2 linked regions of the Drosophila melanogaster genome follow. The protein of the gene in region 1 interacts with the protein of each later gene in a pairwise test. Each region holds a gene or a part of one and is shown on either strand. Other genes may lie near its edges.

Region 1 (8,933 bases):
AGTGGATGCAGTGCCTTCAGGGATCCCATCTATTGATATATGTATACATCCCCCACCCAGCCCAGTGGCAGCGACAAGTTCAGCGGCTTCATTCCCATGGACCGACTGGAGATCACCTACAGCAGGAGCTCCGGACCCGGTGGTCAGCACGTGAACACGGTGAATACCAAGGTGGATGTACGCTTCAAGGTGGCACAAGCGGACTGGATACCCGAGCAGACGCGCCAGAAGCTGCTCAAGGTGCTGGCAAACCGGATTACCAAAGACGGCTACTTTTACATCAAGAGTGATCTTACGCGCTCCCAGCAAATGAACCTGGCCGATGCGCTGGAGAAGCTGCGCACCATCATACGCTCCCAGGAGGCTGTGGCACCTGCGCCACCCAGCGAGGAGACACTGGAGAAGCTGCGCAGGCGCCAGGAGCGAGCGGTCCGCGAACGTCTACAACTGAAACGTGGTCGCGCCCAAGTCAAAGCGGATCGGCAGGGACCGAGCGGATTAGACTTGTAGTTTTTTATTGGAAATTGTTATACAAAGATGCACATTACACATATACGCTTAACTATGCTATGGACGCCATTGCAGGTTAGCACTATCACAGATTCTGTACGGACATACCCCCTGCTGGAGTATAACAACTAATTAACTTTACAAAATTGACACTTACATTATTTAAATATTATACAAAGATCTGTGAGAGTGGAAACCCAAATGGACTTGACAACATTCTAGGTCTGCTCGTCCACTCGAGCTGGTGTTACCGTAAATCTCTTGGAGCTCGCGACTTGGATGGCCGCATCCCTAGCTGGCTCGTCCTTTCCCACTTGCGATGGCATGCTCGCGAATCGTGGACGCTGGAATACACGAAATGAGCACTCGGGATAGACAAGACAGCTTTGTGTGCTACTTACTGGCTGTGGAGGACTCAGCTGAACGGAGACCTCGTGGCTCCGTTGCGATGGTCTGCTTACTACGCTGTGGCGTTGGCGTCGTTCTACTGCTGGTGGATTAAACCCTATTCTCGACGCATACAATTGTTCCAGGCGATGGATGGTGGAGATGCCGGCGCCAGGCGGTTGTGGCATTGAGAAACTATGTCGGTTGCTGAGCGGCGACCAAGTGTGCTGGTAGTTTGATTCGTCCAGATGGCGCAGGAACTGACGATTGATGGAGCCCAGTGCGTGCTTGTCTTCGGTGGCCAGATTGGCTATTAGCTCGTTGAGTATCTCCGACTCCGTTTCCACTTTGCCATTACGCGCCAGCTTTATGTCGTGCTTCCAGAACTGTCGGTTTTTGCGCCCAATCACCGGGGCAATCTCCTTTACCTTCAGCACCAGGATGCCCATGAGATAGACGCACAGAACGTTGGACAAAGTTAGGCACATGCTGATGCCGCCGAGCACGGCCAATTCAGTGGCCTGGTTGTCCGAGTAGCGGCGCGATTTAATCACATCCACGTAGAGCGAATCGTCGTTCTCGAATATCTTGTAAATGCAGGCCACCGCCCACAGCAGACCGGAGTTAACCGCAGGCGGTAGCAGCGATGCCGATATGGCCACGCCAACCAGAGAACCAATATTCCCGCCCAGGATTCCGATGGCAGCCGCCGCTCCCGACGGTATGGCCGTGAATACCCCAACGACGAGGGAGTGCAGATCGCAGCGGGATAGCATCTCCTCCGTCAGTCCCTCACCAATGCCATACTTGCGATCCGTGGTGCACACAACCAGACCGAATAGGAAACCCACCAGTGTGGCGGTCAGTATACCAATCAGTTCGTTCAGCATGCCCAGCCTGCGGAGCGATCGATCCTGGATCACAGTTCCAAAGATGGCCGCTATTATGGGACCCATCAGTGGGGAAATGAGCATGCTGGAGGCCAGGAAAATCGTGCTATTCTCCACCAGGCCAAAGCTCGCCAGAACTCTGTAAGGGAATAGGTGTTATCACAGGTGTTATCCTACAACTTGAAGATATAGAATATTGGATTTCGAAAATTTCTAGATCATTTCCAGAAACAAGATTGTATTACAAGCTTAGTTCCATTTAATTAGGTAATGAAAATCTTGGAAAATCGTTTTTTACTAGGCACTTTTCCAAATTCCAATTCTATAATATTTATATTAAAAGTGACTTCTTACGCCGCCGAAACTAGGAGTATGCAAAAGTCGAAGGTAATAGCCGCATCCTGGCGCACATCCCTTACGATCTGTGCCACATTCAATCGGGATCGCACCGAGTTCATGAACCGATCCCAGATACCCTGCTTCTGGGCATTGATGTGTCTGTAGATGATGGATCCTGTGAACTGAAGTAGCTTGAACTTTTCCATTTTCATTTGACTTACTCTGTGCTCGATGGTTGGTCCTCCTGCTCCTCCGTATCCTCACGCTGAACGTAGGATCTGTGGGCCAGGCAGCTGACCACGGATACTGTAGATCCCTCACGATCACCGATGCCGAATTCCTGCAGCGCCTCATAGAGATTCTCGTAGCGTTCGTCAAAGTCCATGGAGAAGCTGATGTGGTAAGCATTACCCTCTAGACTGGGCAGCCAAACGGCATTGGGTATGTGAAATCTGTGCAGGATCTGGCGCACCACCTGCTCCTGGTCCGTGTCCAGTGGGATATCAAGCAGCTGATCGTGGCACGTCTGAATTTCAATCTTTGGCAAGGTATTTAGGACTTTGTGGCTCTGCCGTTCCGGGGATTCCCCGATCCGAATGGTCGATAAGCTTTCAATGGTTGAGGTTCTGCTGGCGGTACCCATGGGCGTGGCGACCTCTCCATTGACCACCTGGACGTACACCTTCTTCAGGCGCTCCTCCTCCGCCTTCGTGGGTATCGTAATGCTGAGTCGCACTGCCGCTGTTCCCGTCATCGTTGCGTTTTGGTCTTGACTTTCTGGACTCGAGGTAAACACCTCACACACTTTGTATGAAATCGATCGAGCGATCGACAATCATCCGTACTCACACGTGGACAACTGGGCGGATCGCACCCGGCAATGCAACTGCAATAATCTTCTTTGCACTGGAAGCGAATTGAAGCCTCGCTTGTTATTGCCGCCACTGATAACGGTTCTCGACTAGCTGCTGCTTCCTACCGATCTGCCAGTCACCCGGAAGACTCACCCACTTGGTCATATTTAGGATCTGCGAGGGAAAGAGCTTTTTCTTTCGCCCGCCCTCCAACTGATTTGAATTTTCCATTGCAAAGTTTAATATCAAATGGAATAGCTCTGAACTATTAGGAACTATCATCCTAATATCCAGATATAGTAAGCATGTTCCAAAGAAATTGAGATATTCTTTAAGTTCTCTTAAAAGTGGATGTGTAAGTACTTTATTTGGTTTTTCTTTGAAAGAAAGACTCATTGTGTTACATTATTCTTCTAAAATATCAAAAAGATTTGAAACGTTTTCTGATTGAATGATGCTACCAATACTAGCACTGGCTTAAACAAGCTAACTGCTAGAATATAATTACCCCTTAATTGCTGTCCATTAAATGGGTATCTCTAATAGTGCGATAATGAAAGAGTAAGCAAGCAGTGAGTAGTTATATTCTCAACTTTTCAAAAATCACAGAAAGCGGAGTAGAACCATAATTAAATTAAGGGCGCATCTTCTATTAAACGTTATTGTCGTTAGCTGATTCACAGATTATTATATAATGCTATTAAAAATTCTCGTTAATTTCATGCACTTGAACGTCGACAAGGTTCAAGTTTGGTTAATTGAATACTCACAGCATGGGTATGAGTGTAAGTATATCTCTATGCATTTCTATAGATCGGAGAGTCGAGGAGCGAATCGCACATAATCATTTGTATGCAGGTGGAATGGTGTCATTCTGCCGCACGATAGACTGCGAATTTAAATACGTGGTCCGTGGTGAAGGAATAAACTTTATTTGATACAAAAACATCAGAGCTTCTCATATGTACAGGCAAAAACGAAACGCAACGAGAATGGAAGTGTAAATGCCACTAAAACTGACTAAACAATAGCTGAAATTGCATTTAACAAGGTTCTTTAGCACGCTAAAAACAATTGAAATGCGTATAGGAGGCTATCATCTACACAAATGCAGATACAACTACGTTTACGATATACGATATATATATGCTTACGATATACAAAAGTGCATTGTTGACATGGAAATGTGCTTCGGATGCATCTCTCCTAGGCTGAATGATCTTTGCTGCCGATTTCCCCCGATTTTCCTCTACTACACTTAGCCTTACAAACTAATTAACAGCATATTGGGCAAAAGGCAAGGTTCAGACACAACTCTATTGCAGCTCTTAGAAGCGGATTTCGTTGCGCTGCACCTGGTCGTAAACCTGGGGCGTGAGCAGCTCGTACCGACCCTTGGAAGTCTGGTAGTACAGCGCGTCCTTGATCGCGTTCGGATCGTAGCCCTCCTTCTGCAGGTCTACCTTGCGCAGCTTAAAGGTTCCAGTCAGGTCCACCTTGGTGAGCAATCGAATGATCTGGGGACGAGCGTACGCGGGCAGCACCTTGGCCAAGCTAGCGGCGAAGACGTCGAGGTCCAATTCTCGCTCCGGATCATAGATGGCGGCCATGCCGGCCCTTCCCTCGGTGTGCGGAATGGTTACGCCGTAAACGACGGTATCCTTGTAACCGGCCACATTGCTGACTTGCGCCTCCACCTCGCTGGTGGAAACATTCTCGCCCTTCCAGCGGAAGGTGTCACCGGTGCGATCCTTGAAGTACAGATAACCCTTCTCGTCGGCAACCAGCAGATCTCCGGAGATGAAAGCCATATCGCCATGCTTGAACACATCCTTAACAATCTTCTTCGCGGAGGCCTTTTCATCGACGTATCCGAGGAATTCGCGAGAAGGATTTCCTTTGACGATCTTGCCGATGAATACGCCTGGCTCGTTGGGAGCGCACAGTTGGCATAGGCCATTCCTATCTCTAATGGGCTCTCCGGTGTCCGGATCGGCGCGAATGATCGAGATTGGGTAGATCTTGGGCAGGATGCGCGACACAAAGCCGATGGCGCCCACCGTGTTGTCATGATTCATGATGTTCGCATTACCCTCGGTGGCGCCGTAGAACTCGCCAACCTTGGCAATGTTGAAGCGCTGCACAAACTGTGGCCAAATCTGCGGTCGCAGTCCGTTTCCAAAGACCAGACGCACTCGGTGTTTCTGGTCGTATTCCGAGGGTTTCGTAGCTAGAATGTAGCGAGCCATCTCACCGATATACTGACCAATCTGGAAATCACAAAAGCCAAATTAGAGAGTGATTTAGTTAGGCCATAAATCTCACTTACAGTTGCATTATACTTGGCGCAGTCGGCGAAATAGTTGGATGCCGAGAACTTCTTGCGAATGGAGACCGTGGAGCCAAAGAGCACCGACTGACCCATGCACATAATGCCACCAGCGGTGTGGTACAAAGGCAAGGGCGTGTAGAAGATGTCCTCCTCCTGGAAACCCATGGTGTAGTGGATGCCAGCAGCGATAAACAGATAACTAAAGTACAAATTTGTTTAGAACCTTTCCATTTAAACTTAGTTCAGAAAAGCTATTGCACTCACCGGGAGTGAGAGATAACCGCAGCCTTTGGCAATCCTGTGGTGCCGGAGGTGTAGATGTAGACCAGCTTGTCGTGGTGGTTAACCTGCGTCTTGTTAGGCTTCTCATAGCTGGCCGTGGTCAGCAGCGCGTTCAGATTCTTGGCCTGCGGTATGTTCTTTTCCGTCTCGCTGTTGTTGTTCTCGTTGTTGAACTGGAAGAGTGTGAGGTTCGCTGGCAGATCCTTGGCCACGTCGGTGACAGCTTCCAGGAAGTCCTCGCCGTAAATGAGAGCCGAGCAATGGGCCACCGTGATGCTGTGCAGCAGGGAGGGACCGCGCAGATTCGTGTTGATCAGCGGTGTGATCACACCGATCTTGGAGAGACCCAGCCAGGTGGCCACGTACTCGGCGCGGTTCTCCAGCAACAGGGCCACCACATCGCCCTTTTTGTAGCCCTGAGCCTGCAGCACATTGGCCACCTTGTTCGCATGCTCGTTCACCTGACGGAAGGTCCAGCGTTGCGTCTCACTGACCACAGCCACCTTGTCCGGATGGGCCTGAACATTTCGTTCGAAGACGTCCGCCACCGTGTAGTTGAGCCGCTCATGGCGCTTCGTGTACCTCAGCAGCTTGATATAGGCCCAGAGAGCTCTGTTAAGGGGAAATTTGATTAGTAAATTAAATATCAAACCTGATAAATCGAGGAATCTTCAAACGAACAATGCTAAATTAGTTAGTGCTATATAAAAGTGTGTTGACTAGACAATATTTTTGAAGATAGCGTATCTTCTTTGCAATGGAAAATCCACAAATAACGTGTATAACCAACGGATATTGATATGTTACTCAGTTTTGGAGGGAAAGTGTTTGATTAGCGGCTAGTCGAGGATAGTAGCCGTACCGGCATTATCTTTGCCATCAATCGCGTGTGTTTTATGGTTAGTGGTTGGGGTCTGTATAAATAGCCAACAGAAATCGAAGCTCGACAAGCGCAACAGCCGTGATGCGATAAACCCAGAGATAAACCCGCTCGAAGTGGTTGCAATTCAATCCGAACGTGGTAACCTAGTCCGACCATGCGAGCCACAACTTAATGACGCTGCTAATTTCGAGCTGAGTAATGCAAAGTTCACGGGAAGGTTGAGATAAAATCGTATTTGTTTAGCCAGTTTCAAGGGCTTTTGAATTTTCCGGGAGAAAGCTTAACCAATAGCTACAGATATCTAAATCTGACGTTTATATTTTCATTTGCAATCGTATAATCATTGGAACAGAACTCTTACACATCTTAGTATCTTATCACTTATGAGGATTAAGAGTTTTATACTTAAACTGTAACTGTTGTTTGGCCCATGTTTATCAATATTGAAGAAGCTATCGGCAAAATAAATAAACCTGCACACTGAACGAAGGCAGATAATGTTTATCATTGACTAGCGGTTGAAATAAATTGCACTTGTATTGACAAATGTGAGTTTAGAAATTTGATTTTTTTGTAATCATGTGTATTTCTTATAAAGATAGATGCCTTCAAGTTGTTACACGGTATTAATTTGTATAAACTATAAAGAGCTGCCTCTGTAATACTAATAGTTTCCTCTACAAGTTCTAGAAGAGCTGATGCTACGGTCTGAAAGGCATTTGCAAGCACTTAAGATCCACAGAGATTTGATACGATAGGAAAGAGTGTGAGGTAGAACTAATCCAAATCGCAAATACAATAGTTCGATGGGAACTGTATTAGAAAAGGGGGAAAAAAAACCTACACTCGACTTGGGACTCGACCACAACGACGATCTCAATTTGAATTCGCTTTGCACCCGTGCGTACTTTGCACCGTCAACGGGGCAGTGAAGTGTCGATAAGATTGCCGGTAACAGCTAGTTAACTTAGCTTAGCGCTTAACGCACATTAGCCGCGTATTTATAGGGTTTTTAATCAGGCCTTATGACCCCCATCGAGTGCTTTGTTTGCTTGGCTCCTTTTGGAGTTGCTGCACATGTTTGCCCGCAGATTGGATTCGTCTACTTGGTGGCCGAGCAAAAAACTTCGATACGTGGCCAAGGTTGACCGGCCAGACTTGAAGTTGATCTTAAGAATCTGTTGTGAGCGCGAAATATACGAATGGCCATATAGACGAGCTGGGTAAATGGGAAACCAGTGTTGGCCTTGGCATGGAACTTGATCTGCCGAGTTTGACTCATTAAGCGAAAACTGCCGAGCAAATTAAATGCTGCTGAGAATACTTGCTATTTTAATAGCTATAACTTTACGTATTTAACCTTATTTATGGTCAAACATAATTTTGTAAAATGCGTTGCAATGTGTGAATATTTGCGAAGGCTATAGCTCAATTCAAACTTAATTGAATCTTAAAATACTTAGTTAAAATGAAGTGTAAAGATTTTGCTCCTATTAGTTAAGGTGTTTGGTTAGATGGTTTTGGTTGTAAAAATGTATATTACTAACAATACCTGTGCTAAAAAGCAATATCTATAGCCGTCTTCAAAATACATACACAAGTCAAAAGGCGACACTTCCGCTTTTTTAATTATCGTAACGACAGACGACACAAAGTATATTGATGAGACATACATAATTTTGACAAGCTTTTCGTTCGCTTATTGCTTGGTCTACAATTGGTATAGTTTGGCTTGCCGTGGCAACCCTGGAATCTTAACACTTCCACTGTAGCCATAAAAAAGTGAATCACTTAAAAATTAAAAATCTATGTGGTTTATAATATTATTGTAATTTCTTTAAATTTATACTATTTATGAGGTTAGCAAACTTACTTTGATATCCAAGTCCTAGACATTCTTAACTATAACAATTTTAAAAGTAAAGAGCTGCTTAAAAATTCTGAATACTTAATAACCTTTCTGCAAAATTTCAAAATGTAAGTAGCCCTGGCAACCCTGGAAAAACGAAAATTCCAAGACGCAGGCGACACTTCCGCCATCATAATGACCCAAGCTTTGGCTCTTTGGCGTACGTTTTCAAGAACAGATCGGTTAGTGTGCCAGTGGTCTTCCGCCTGACGCACTCGATCGCATTCGGATCGATTAGTATGCGCGGAGGGTTTCGCTGGGCGACGATCGTATGAAGTCAATGGTAAATAAAAGCGAGTTTTGTTTTGGTTTCTCGTAGGTTTTTTTTTTTTTTTGGGCTGTGCGACCTTGAACCTGAAGAAGTCAATAAACTGCTCGTAATCGAGTGGCAAAAACTAATAATTTGCGTTGACTATTCGTCACAATGTCGCATGGATCATTTCGCCAGTTAAGTTTTCTCTTTTATGGTTTTCCCAACTGGAAATGAATGCTGCTGTTGGCGACCCAAATAGATGGAAAACGAGTTTTTTCCACTGTGGTTTCTGAC
Region 2 (4,812 bases), 2.1 Mb from region 1:
TTTCCATCTGGGCCTTAAACTCCAGCAAGCTACTTGCTATGCGCATTTCCATTGTATCAATAATTGCCAATGTTTCGTTTTGTTTAAGCGCGTTGTATGTAAACCAATAATTCTGGTTAATACCAATCTGATCGATTGTATTTTGCGGCGTTTGTGGACTTGGCAATGTAGCCTTTCCGTTCGGAATGTCCTGCTGCCCACCACTGAGATCCCAAAGGTTCCATAATGCCAACAGGTATAAGAGGTTAGATGCGTACATGTCCAGTTTGGAAGATTTCAAGCGTGTGAGATCCAATCTGGCTAAAGAACTTCCAATGAGCTCAACTAATTTTGTCACGCTTTTTAATGATAATGTAACCGTTTTAAAGCATCACTGTGAAAAGCAAAAAGGCTGGAAAAATTAAAAAAAATGAAAATCTACTATGGTGTATTGAAAAAAAAAAATATAAAATGCCTAAAGTTAATAGCTTTATTATTAAAGACACATTGCAATTTTGATGATTTAAAAAAAATACATATTAAAGTTTAAAGGAGTTCAATTTTTAAACCTTTATTATCAAAGTCACATTTAAAGTTTAAAATAGTTCTAAAAATCAATGCTCGATATTCAGGCCCATTGCTCGGCTTGGCAAGCAAAATAGTTATCATTGGCACAATTTTCAAAGTACATTTCATTGGAATTGATATACACGCAATGGTTATGTATATTTGTGGCCAGATTTGGCTTCCATTTCAGAAATGGTACATCCCTTCCGGATAGTGTAGAAATCCAGGACGCTCCATCGTTGGCACGGCTGTTGATATCTACCCAGTACTTTTTTTTGGTTTCCTCTGAGAATATTTCATTCAGCTCCTTCTCATCGAGGATATTCGCCAGGTGACCGCCCATTTGACGACACGTGTCGTATGCGCTATCCCAGGGCATCTTCTTTTGCTTTTCTAAGTAAAAGTGCCGGGAGCCAATCTTCTTGAATACGGACATTTTGATTTTGTTGGACATTTTAACGTTTTCCATGTAGGGTTCAATTTGTTGCTTTAGAGCCCGAAGTTTAGTTTCCATCTGGTTTTGAAAGGACTGCAATCGCATTTCTAAGCGTTGCTCCATATTACCAATTCTCCACAAAGTTCCATTTTGTCTTAGCGAATTGTAGGTAAACCAGTGCTGCTGGTGCATATCAATATTCTCGATTGTATAATACGGCATTGGTGCTTTTGGCAATTCATTTGTTCCTGTGGAAGTATCCTGCTTTTTGGCACTGACGCCCCAAAAGTTCCATAAAGCGAAAATGGAGAAAATGCAAGTTGCGTACTTGTACATTTCGAGGGCTAATAGTCTGTGAGATCAATTATTTAATTCCTCCTCGGACTAACCCTTTTTTTTACACTTCCCAACGAGATAATCACCCGGAACATTAACCTTTTCAAGCATTAAATACTCTGTTAAAAATTCGATAAAGATCCGAGAAATCTAGAGATATATTCTAGACTTCATTCAAGCCCATCTTCCCAGTTAAATACCATTACAAATGAACCAAAAAAAGTTAATGAAAAACGTATAAACTGCAAGAGAAGTTTATTGCTTAAGTGGATGCTTCGGAACATGGAGGATACCACTGCCAAACGCTCCAATCGACGCAGCTTCCAGTTTTCGGATCGAATCCAGTGTTCTGCTCGCAGGCAACTAGCTCGGCCTGTCCGGTGCTAGAGCACTGCCAGTAGTGGGTTGGATCCCAGAAGTCACGGGAAATCTCTCCGGAGCGTCCCACGCAATCGGGCTCACCATTGCCATCGGGATTGCAGTCAAGGTCGGCGTAGATGGCAACGCAGAGGGTCAGGAAGAGAAGGACTAAAGCTGAAACAGAATTCCGCTATTGGCATCTCAATGGTTTCAGCGATGTGAGGTCATCAATGAAACTCACCTGCTTTCATTGTGGTTTGTTCGAGTGATTAATACCGAATGCGATTGGAACGCAACGTTCGACATTTTATAGCCACCTGCTATCTATTCCCTGACATATTGTCTGAGACAATCGGAGCTATACATTCTATTTCTTAAAGAACATGAAATCGTTTAAAAATAATCTCATGATCACGATTGGTATCTGTATCTCGACAATTCGAACATTTGACGCCGTCGTACAATTCGTTTTCAAACAAAGAAGTATATTTCACCAAGTGTTGTAGTATACTTAGTTATGATATTAAAATATTATTGAACAAAAAATTTGCATATGATTTGTTTGAATTGACCGGCTCCTATTTAGACAATTTATACCCTGTAAAACTTTACACACTGAGACACAGTGTTTTTGAAATAAACAAACAAATTTTGAAACCAAGCTCTAGTTAAAAAATAAAGTTGTTTGTAAAATTAAAGTATATTGTTTATACTTTATATGATAAAGTATAATTTACTTTTCTCTCGTTCATAAACATTTTATTGCATTAAATGCAAATTAGTAGCAATACGAGTACTGTCTAATCTTTATAGGTTTCCAAGATATCATTTGGACAAAAACATCTCAAAAATGTTATTTACAAATAATAATGAAACTCGTTAACACTCAACTGTACTCAACATCCTATAGAAAGCGACTGAGCAGAAACAAAATATTCTATATACCAATCTAGGTTGCTCTATAACATTTTCCCATATCTTCGAATACTCGCAAGAACATGAGATATTTTAAAAATCCAAACAATGTATGTAATCATTTAGTTTGCCATATATTTTCATTTTTGTTGTTATTAAAAATGCAATCAACAGTAAGCAGTCCAAGACCATTCGCTCCATGAAACGCACTCCTTCTTTGTGGGGTCGAATCCAGTGGACAACGGGCACAACACAGCCGTGGCCGTGGAGGTGGAGGACTCACACCACCAGTAGCGAGTGGGATCCCAGAAGTTGCGGATGTTCGTTTGCACGTTGGATGCGTCGCTGCAGTCGGGCTGGTTGTCAGAATTGGGATCGCACGCATTTCCGGTGCTTAGGAGCGCCACGAAGAAGGCAAGGCAGATCAAAAGTAGTGCTATGGGATCGGCAAAGGGTTGAAGTATATTTCAAATGGGGATTCCTTTTCGATTTGCTCAGCTAACTTACCGGACTTCATGGTGCAATTGAGTTCCCACTGGTTTCGTAAGTGTGCTTTAACTGGGCGAATTCGCAAGCTTATATACCCCAGACCGGCACTGATATTGGCTTTCATCAATAGCAGTTATCTCCGTTGGCGGGAAGCCTGTGCGAAATTCTATTTTGGCAGCGACATGAAATCGTTTCAAAATAATCGCACCTTGTATCGCCCACCGTATCTGTATCTGTATCTCAGCGCATTGTACGCGCCCCTAAGTTTTGTTGACGCAATAGTTTGATTATATGGATGTGTCGTAAAGGTCATGCCGCGTGCCACAATCCAAACTGGGTAGCACTCCTATCAATAAGTTAAATATAGTACAAAACTAGGACAGTAAGGTTTATAATCGAAATTTAAATTTGGGGGCTTCTATTCAAATACCTAATACTTAACCGTGGGGAACCCCACATTCTTAACGCAAACAAGTCATTAGAATTACGCATTTATATTTATATTAATATACTACCCTTAACTGTTGGTGATAGCACTACCGCACTACTAACCTGGTTTTTAATCAACCCATCCGCTATACCGTATACCATACATATCGAAATATAAAACTCCAAAATATAACATTAAATCGCAGTAGGTGTCACACAACTAATTATTTGCGATATTAATGATTACAAATTGCTCGTGATAAATCTCCCATAGCGATGGAGTCGAGGGTCACCAGCGGCACAGGTCCACCGAACACCATTATGATCCAGCTGGTGTCCCAACAGCCCAGTTCCTGTGGACAGATGCAGGCCATGCCCATTTCGGTGCAGACGATACCCTTGTTCCCCAATTCCAGAACATCGACAGAGCGACCTTGTCGATCGGTCTCCATTGCCCCGAATGTAAGACCTCCAACGGATGTCCCTCCTCCTCGAAGGAATTTAAGAATCCGACCCGAGGAATATGCGACACCCAAGCGGAAGAATTCGCAAAGCCAGTTTCGTCATTTCTCCCGCAGCATAAACCAACCTCCACCGGTGTACTATGTTCTTCGACCAGAAGACCGTATTATGCCCATCTACATACCACCTCCGAGGTTTAACAATGAGCAAGGATCAAGGATGGCGACGGAGTGTCCTTGCTGTGGCCATGCCAAGTCATTGAACCCGGAGGAACCTCTAAGAGTCCACGTAGCGCAGAAAGAGTTTGTCAAATTAGAGAAGGCAACTCCTGGACATCGGGATCAATGTACTAACACCATTGACCAGCCAGATGTGGGAAATATAAGGACGATTTACGAAACATTGGGACGCGCAATGGTCACTGCAGCCGTGGAGGCAGCCCAGAGATCCCAGCCAGCAGGACCCTCAGATCCGACAAATGTAATATTGAAACTATTAACCCAATTGGGGGAGCAGAATCAAACAACAGGCTTGAGTCCACATTCAGAAGCAGTAGCAGAAAGTCCCGACCACCAACCACATATGCGCAGGCCCAAAGCTAGCTTTACGGAAGCAGTCCGCATGATGGAGAGGACCTCGTCTGATCCTTCCATTGCTAAAGGGCCACCAGATGAGCTAGATGACCAACGTAGGCTTCCATCTGTACTCTCCGATGGTCGTCTTCGCGTCGAATATCCGAAAACGCCTAGACCAACACCAACATACTCCGTCGAATCTGAAAACACCCTCAGTAATCATATGTCCTCGGAGAGATTAAGACTCGATTCTGGTTCCTCGCC

What was found. The genes of interacting proteins can lie anywhere in the genome.
Region 2: the proteins of CG7384 (region 1) and Peritrophin-15a interact in a two-hybrid assay, tested with the Drosophila melanogaster proteins (one large-scale study listed by BioGRID).

The regions. Positions count from the first base shown.
Region 1 is NT_033779.5:10,507,359-10,516,291, forward strand, and holds CG7384 (uncharacterized protein), read right to left. Parts: upstream 3,096-8,933; 5' UTR 2,881-3,095; coding exon 2,348-2,880; intron 2,286-2,347; coding exon 2,142-2,285; intron 1,927-2,141; coding exon 912-1,926; intron 855-911; coding exon 729-854; 3' UTR 511-728; downstream 1-510. Other genes in the region: CG6094 (uncharacterized protein), read left to right, coding at 61-510; Fatp1 (fatty acid transport protein 1), read right to left, coding at 4,309-5,250, 5,310-5,511, 5,577-6,206.
Region 2 is NT_033779.5:8,392,953-8,397,764, forward strand, and holds Peritrophin-15a (Peritrophin-15a), read right to left. Parts: upstream 3,145-4,812; 5' UTR 3,111-3,144; coding exon 3,101-3,110; intron 3,030-3,100; coding exon 2,761-3,029; 3' UTR 2,713-2,760; downstream 1-2,712. Other genes in the region: Acp29AB (accessory gland protein 29AB), read right to left, coding at 1-259; lectin-29Ca, read right to left, coding at 608-1,318; Peritrophin-15b, read right to left, coding at 1,581-1,852, 1,920-1,929; CG13385 (uncharacterized protein), read left to right, coding at 3,788-4,812.